2 linked regions of the Kluyveromyces lactis genome follow. The protein of the gene in region 1 purifies or fractionates together with the protein of each later gene. This does not show direct contact. Links are inferred from orthologs where the notes say so. Each region holds a gene or a part of one and is shown in the gene's direction. Other genes may lie near its edges. The genes, in order: TOP1 and NSR1.

Region 1 (4,547 bases):
ATAAATAGTCTACACTTATCAACCTCCAGTAACTAATTTCTTTCTTGCGTGTATTTCCTTGGCCCGTCCAATAAATACCTTGCAATTAACGGTTTTGTGGCTCTCGATCAAAAAAAATGAATCTACGACGTCAAAGCACTGGCACCGTTGAAAAACTGAAGCGATTTAGGTTAACAACAGCAGAATGAGTACAACAACCAAGATTCTGACTGTTAAATGATGTTTCCGCTCACTGTAAGTCTTCCTTTCACCTGCAAGTTTGTAAACTAATATCAGTGATGTAAGTATTCCTAAGAATAATCGAACTTTCAACTGAATTATGGCAGTCGCAGTAAAAAAATGCTTCTAATATCAAAAGAACCCTTGTTATAAGCACTTGATACGTCTCAGGTAAGATGGTAACAATTAAAGGACTGAGTTCCCGCCCTCTCTTATGCCAAGTATGCTCTTAGGAAGTATGTAAAGAAAGACTGTATAATATTAGAATCTGACTTTTTTCCCTTCCAATATAATAGTATATTATACCAAACCCAGTACTTTTAAGCTGATATAAAAGCCAAACCAGTATACAAGGATACCCAAATAGTAATATCAATGACAATGAGCTACCGCAATTTACTGTAACTTCAAATTTATTCAAACCGACAAATTACTAGTTTTGTCAACTTTGAAAACACAAAACCGACTATTTACATTATTGAATTTTTTTCGACATTAACCAAATCTGTACAACGGAAATGAACAAAATGTAAACAATAACAAAACACTCAATGCGGTAAGTGCCAAAAACCCTTATTTCTTTAAAAGGACATTTTCCTAAGTAAGTATCTAATGAAAAAGCAAATAATTACCTTACCCGAATATTAGATCACGTGAGACTTTTTTTTTTTTGGGGGCAATTTTGAAAATTTACGGTTGTTCTATTTTCATTTTCACTTCTGCCCTTTACAGGTTAATATCTGTTGAATGTCTTGGATTCTTGAAAAATCAAATCTTCAAGCATTCGGTAGAAAAAGCTGATCTATTTTTTAGTAAGAGAAGAGGCACTGTCCTGATCAGCGCCTAAAGAAAACTAATAAAAAAGAAACATCCTAAACGGTCGAGAGAGTTCTATATTACTGGTGTCGGTAATATATCTACTTTAGAATTTCCTTTGTTTTATATTTACGATAAGAAATTTAAGGTTAAGACGGACCACAACCAAAGTAATTTGATATAGCCCATTTTAGAGCGCTACAGACTTGAATAGGCAGGTAAAAAGAACCCTATATAGTACTTCTATCGAATTAGTGTCGATTGAATTATTTCACACCATCTGAAGGAGTATTTGGCAAATTCCTTTTGTTTTGCTCGGGATCTTTTTATTTTGATTTGATTGAATACTACTATAGGAGGTCAAGAAAACGCTCATTTCCCATATGAGCATAACTCTGAAAGATGATTCTTCATCAGATGATGAGGATGTAGTATTAAAGAGGGTCTCTAAGGGTGATAAACAGACTAAAAAGAAGTTGAAGCGTGTGAAAAAAGAATTGTCAGATGGAGATGATAGCGATGAGGATGAGGAAATCGTCCATGCCGCAAAGAAGAAGCAAAAGAAGCTCAAGAAAGAGAAGGAAGATGCTGTATTAAGGAACACCAATGGCAATGGTGACAGCAACGGCAAGGTAACTGGTAGGTTAAAAGTTAAGAAAGAACGTAAAGAGAAGAAAGAAAAAACGAAAAAGATCAAGAAGGAAGAAGTGAGTAATGAGGATGATGAGGATAAGAATCTGGCGGATATTGCATCAGAGACTCCATTTCAGTCATCTGCAAGGGCTTCCTCCATAGAGTTAAAGGAGTCATCGGAAGATTTCAAATGGTGGGAAAATGGCGACAAAGAGGATGACACTATCAAATGGACTACCTTGAAACATAATGGTGTCATTTTTCCTTCCACATACGAACCCTTACCAGCACATGTCAAGTTATACTACAATGGGAAACCAGTAGATTTACCACCACAAGCAGAAGAAGTGGCTGGATTTTTTGCAGCTATATTGGAATCGGACCATGTCAAGATTCCAACGTTTCAGAAGAACTTTTTGCACGATTTCTTGCAAGTGCTAAAAGAGAATGGAGGAGCACGCAATGGAGTGCAAATAAAGGAGTTTGGGAAGTTAGATTTCACTAAAATTTTTGAGTATTTCCAAGTGCAAAAGGAACAGAAGAAACAACTAAGTCCACAGGAAAAGAAGCAGCTTAGGTTGGAAAAAGAAGAACTGGAGAAACCATATAAATTTTGTGAAATCGATGGCAGGGTGGAACAAGTAGGTAATTTCCGTATTGAACCACCTGGTCTTTTCAGAGGCCGTGGTGCTCATCCAAAAAATGGTAAATTAAAGAGGCGTGTTTATCCGGAGGATGTTGTACTCAATCTCGACAAAGAGGCACCAATTCCAGAACCTCCAAAGGGTCACAAATGGGGTGAAATCAGGCATGATAACACGGTACAATGGTTATCAATGTGGCGAGAGAATATTTCTAACTCTTTTAAATACGTACGGTTTGCTGCTAACTCTACGTTGAAAGGAATGAGTGACTTCAAGAAATTCGAGAAGGCAAGAATGTTGAAGGATCACATAGATAAAGTGCGCACAGATTACAAAAGCAAAATGAAGAGCCCTAAGACCCTGGATAGACAAATGGCTGTAGCCACGTATTTGATTGATGTGTTTGCATTAAGAGCCGGTGGTGAAAAAGCTGATGATGAAGCTGACACAGTGGGTTGTTGTTCTCTACGGTATGAACATGTTACCCTAAGACCACCAAACACAGTTGTTTTCGATTTCTTGGGTAAGGATTCTATTAGGTATTACCAGGAAGTTGAAGTCGATGCACAAGTTTTCAAGAACCTTAAGATATTCAAGAGGCCTCCAAGCGGACCAGGCCATCAATTATTTGACAGACTAGATCCATCGATATTGAACAAACACTTGCAGAATTATATGCCAGGATTGACTGCAAAAGTTTTCCGTACGTACAACGCATCTAAAACGATGCAGGATCAACTAGATTTGATTCCAAATGAGGGTACTGTCGCTGAAAAGATCTTGAGGTACAACGCAGCAAACAGAACCGTTGCCATCTTGTGTAATCATCAACGTACTGTCACCAAAGGGCATGCCAGCTCTGTGCAGAAGGCCACTGAACGTATAGAAGAGCTAGAATGGCAAAAAGTACGTTATAAGAGGGCTATCTTACAGTTAGACAAGAGCGAACGCAAGAAAAACCAAAATTATTTCAAGGAGATCGATGATTTAACGAAAGAGGAAGAACTCACAATTCATAAACGCATCATTGAAAGGGAACGTGAAAAGTACAAAAGAAAGTTCGAACGTGAAAATGAAAAACGCAAGTTCAGCAAAGAGGATCCGATTCCAGACTCTCAATTGCTCGAGTGGCTAGCTAAAGTGGATGACCTTGAAAAACTTTATGAAAGAGAATCAACTACGGGAAAAATTGAACTAAGAGAATCTTTACAAAACTTGGAAAAACTTAAGCAAAACGTGGAAAAGCTGGAGAAAAGAATCACAAATTGTTCCCTTCAGTTAAAGGACAAAGAGGATAATTCCACTGTAGCATTAGGAACTTCAAAGATAAATTATATCGATCCAAGACTATCTGTCGCGTTTTGCAAGAAATTCGATGTCCCAATCGAGAAAGTGTTTACCAAGACTTTGAGAGATAAATTCAGATGGGCTATCGAGTCTGCTGACGAAAACTGGACATTTTGAGACGGGGTTTCATCAACTTACAAACTCACAACCTTGTAGTATATATACCATAACGTAGCATATATATATATATATATATATATATATCTGTTCTTATTATTAATTCACGTGCCGTTTTTCAAAATTTCAACCCGCAAATTGCATAAATACATGAATAATATATCGTAAGGATATTCCAGAACGAAAGAGAACTACAAAGCTCCGTCCACACCGTCTATCTAAGCCATCTCCTTTCAATGAAAAAGATGACTAGCTATTCACCTCCTTGTCCTTCCTAAATACATGACTTTCTTTGTTTATTCTATACCGTTCCCTTCTGATAACGCCGTAAATTCGGGAATACTCCATACACGTCCTTTGGCGGGCCCGGCACGCCCCATAAAAAAAATAAGAACGACATCTCCGTAACCGTATATAGTGATGTATTCCGACTATATAAGGAACGCCATCCTTCACATTATTCCTTCCAACGCTGATTTGGTTTCGAACGGTGATTAACGGTTGAAAGAATAGAAGATAAACCAAGATCGATTCGTCAGTATCCGACAGGACCGAAATATTGACTCTAGAGGAGAAACAAAACACAATAAGCAAATCATAAAAAATGGCTCGTTCAAGAGGTTCTGCTAGACCGGTTTCAAGACCGCAAACTCGTTCTGCATCTACTGTAGCTGCTCCAGCTCCAGCTCAGCACCAAGCTCCTAATGCGTACTCGCATCCACCACACACAGCTCAACCACAACAACCGGGTATGTTCGCTCAGATGGCTTC
Region 2 (3,535 bases), about 450 kb from region 1:
TTACAACATCAGAAATAAAAACTGATTCATTTAAAACTACTGAACCAACTATTGAATCAAGTATTGAAACAAATGTTGAGGCAAGTACTGAATCAGGTACCACCGAAACAACAGAGATCTATTCCACACCACTTTCAGAAACTACCATCACATCAGAGAACTGTTATGGAACACGCTGTACGACTGTTACAAGTACAGTCACTGTTCCAGTCACTGATCTAACAACTTCAACTTCACCATCAAACTCTTCACCATCATCAGCACCAAATGAAACTACGGAACCTATGGAACCTTCATTGGAATCTTTTACCTCTCAAGCACCAAAAACAGACACAGAACAAAGTTCTTCTACGGTAAGCTTTGGAGCAGTTTCTTCGATTTCAATATTTCAAGGTGTTGCTTCTTCCATAAACGCAAGATCTTCAACAATATTTGGAGTATTTCTGGGATTAATCTCTCTACTCTGAGTTTATTGCGAAGAATAAATACAATTGAGAAATTATTATCGGGCATCAATCTCATCGTATTTAAAGCTCTAACCCAACACTAACCATTTCAAGTTCATTCTTACCTTCAATTTTGACACAAACATTAATTTAAACACTGATATATCTGCATCTCTATTTCTCCTGTTTTACTTAAAGGAAGCAAATCCTTTGACCCTAAATATTTTTTCCCATGTTCTTTCAACACAAGGTGGGTGCACTATCGATTATAAAAGTCTCTCGGTTTTTTTCTATAAGTATATTGGGCAATGAACTAAGAAATTATTGAGGACAATTATAAAGTGTATTTTGTGACGTATACCTTTATGTACTTTTTAATAGATTACAAACTAACATCAATACTCTCTCGTAATTTAAAACCATTTTCACTATAATTTAATAACTATATGTCATGAATATCTGCTTTGTAGGTTTTCTTCATCTATTCATCACTGATTATTCACAGTTGACATTTCATCAACTGCCATCGGATCAGAGGAATACAACCTTGGAGAGAACGCAGTCGCGCGCCAGAAATTAAAAGAACCCATACCTCGCACCAAATTATCACGAATTTTCATGGTAATTTCTTTTCAATAAAAAATGTGATGAAAAGTTTTTTCAGTGAAAAAAACCCAAACAAAAACGGAAAAGAAACGATTTAAGTGAAAAATTATTGTCTCTGTACTCTTCAGCTCATCGCATTGGAAAAAGAAGTTTGTTATAAGAGAAGATAAGTTATACCTGCTCAGTAACACTTCTTCATTAACTAACATTTATTGATATAACGCTATTTTGAAACGCAATTCTTGTAGCATCGAGTCTTGTTGATTATCTATTAACAGAGTACAGAATAATATCATCGCTCAAACATACAATTCACATAATGGGTAAATCAACTGACAAGAAGGTTTCCAAGAAGGTTTCCAAGAAGGACCTAAAGCTAAAAAAGAAGCAAGATGAAAAGAAGGTGAAGGCTGTTGAACCAGAATCTAGCTCCGATTCCAGCTCTGATTCTAGCTCTGATTCTAGCTCTGATTCTAGCTCTGATTCCTCTTCTGATTCCGATTCTTCTTCCTCTTCTGACTCTTCTGACTCTTCTGACGAAGAAGAAGAACCAAAGAAGGAAACTAAGAAGGAAGAATCTTCCTCTGATTCCGAATCCTCTTCTGATTCTGATTCCGAATCTGAAAAGGAAGAAGCTAAGAAAGAAGAATCCTCCGATTCTGACTCTTCTTCCGACTCCTCCTCAGACTCCGACTCTGATTCTGACGAAGAAGAAGAAAAGAAGGAGGAAAAGAAGAAGGAAGAATCTTCCGCTTCTTCATCTGATTCTGATTCTTCATCTGATTCTGACTCTTCATCTGATGACGATGAAGAAGAGGAAAAAAGCTCTAACAAGCGTAAGGCTGATGATGACGAAGAGAAATCTGAAAGCAAAAAGCCAAAGACTGAATTGGCTGGTGAACCAGCTACTATTTTCGTTGGTAGACTATCATGGTCCATTGACGATGAATGGTTAAAGACCGAATTTGAACCAATCGGTGGTGTCATTAGTGCCAGAGTTATGTACGAAAGAGGTACTGACAGATCCCGTGGTTATGGTTATGTCGATTTTGAAGACAAATCCTACGCTGAAAAAGCTATCAAGGAAATGCACGGTAAGGAAATTGACGGAAGACCAATCAACTGTGATATGTCTACCTCGAAGCCAGCTGGTGCTCCAAGAGACGACAGAGCAAAGAAGTTCGGCGACGTTCCATCTGAACCATCTGACACTTTGTTCTTGGGTAATTTGTCTTTCGAAGCTGACAGAGACAACTTGTACGAGATCTTTGGTAAATATGGTGAAATTGTTTCTGTTCGTATCCCAACTCACCCAGAAACTGAACAACCAAAGGGTTTCGGTTACGTTCAATACGGTAGTATTGAAGATGCCACTAAAGCCTTTGAAGGTCTACAAGGTGAATACATTAATAACAGACCAGTCAGATTAGACTACTCCATTCCAAAGCAAAACTTCGGCAACAACCAACGTGGTGGTTTTAACAGAGGTGGTTCTGACAGAGGTGGAAGAGGCGGTAGAGGCGGCAGCAGAGGCGGTAGAGGTGGCTTCGGTGGTAACAGAGGAGGTAGAGAATTCAGTTCCGGTTCTAACGCTTCTCCTCTAGGAGCTACCAGACAAACTGCTTCCTTCCAAGGTACCAAAAAGACCTTCGATTGAATTTTTGAATACTTAATACACAAGAGTTAAACAAAGTTCATTCCTCAAAGTCGAAAACACTTTTCATTATCATCCTAACATGCTCTTGGGAATAAAGAAGATCATTTCTCATCCATTGAAACAATAGAGTGTCAAAAAATAAAAATAAAAAAAAATTAAATCACAAGAATAACCATTCGTCATCTTATTTGTATCTATAGATCAACAACTGATTCATTGTAAACTTCACTGAATCGCATTCATCTTCTATTTTCTTATTTTATTTTCTTTAAATCATTTGTATATGTGTGTATAGTAGCTTTTAATATTTTTTGAACTAGAAGTCTGCGAAGAAGGTCTATGGAAAAGAGTCTCGAATCTGTGCATTTTGTAAAATTAAGCTTCATCTTTGAATCTTGTTTTAAAGGTGTAGAAAAAAGAGAAGACAAGTTTCAAGACAATTGACTGCATTACAGAATCCCTTAATACACTCGTATGACAGTCGTAACCCACCTCAAAAGATATGGACAATTTGAGAGCCACACATACACGCACACACAAACTGAAAAGAAGAATTTTAGCTACGAATATTGTGGAGGTGTATCCAAAGGTATGTAATAATCGATATTTATGCCGCAATTCAATGAGATTGCTAGGTTACATAAAATCGGTGTCATTATCTAGTGAATTATACTACAAACTGAAGCAAACTTAACGACAAAACGGCTTTTATAGGCAAAAACTCGACGGAATAAACATTCCTTTTTTTTTTTAGTTCTCCATTCCATTTAAAATGCGTTATAACAATCGAAATCCAAGTGAAAAACTCAATTTCCGGATTAATCTC

The links.
Region 2: the proteins of TOP1 (region 1) and NSR1 purify together in Saccharomyces cerevisiae (affinity purification with western blotting; 3 studies listed by BioGRID). This does not show direct contact. The link is inferred for Kluyveromyces lactis from reciprocal best matches to the Saccharomyces cerevisiae genes TOP1 and NSR1.

The regions. Positions count from the first base shown.
Region 1 is NC_006039.1:535,753-540,299, reverse strand, and holds TOP1 (DNA topoisomerase 1), read left to right. Parts: upstream 1-1,418; coding exon 1,419-3,776; downstream 3,777-4,547. Other genes in the region: MIX17 (Mix17p), read left to right, coding at 4,381-4,547.
Region 2 is NC_006039.1:990,006-993,540, reverse strand, and holds NSR1 (Nsr1p), read left to right. Parts: upstream 1-1,371; coding exon 1,372-2,709; downstream 2,710-3,535. Other genes in the region: KLLA0_C11517g (gag-pol fusion protein), read left to right, coding at 1-467. UniProt on the Saccharomyces cerevisiae protein: Involved in pre-rRNA processing. Specifically binds nuclear localization sequences. Candidate for a receptor at the nucleus that may be involved in both RNA and protein transport. Binds telomeric sequences of the type (TG[1-3])n in vitro.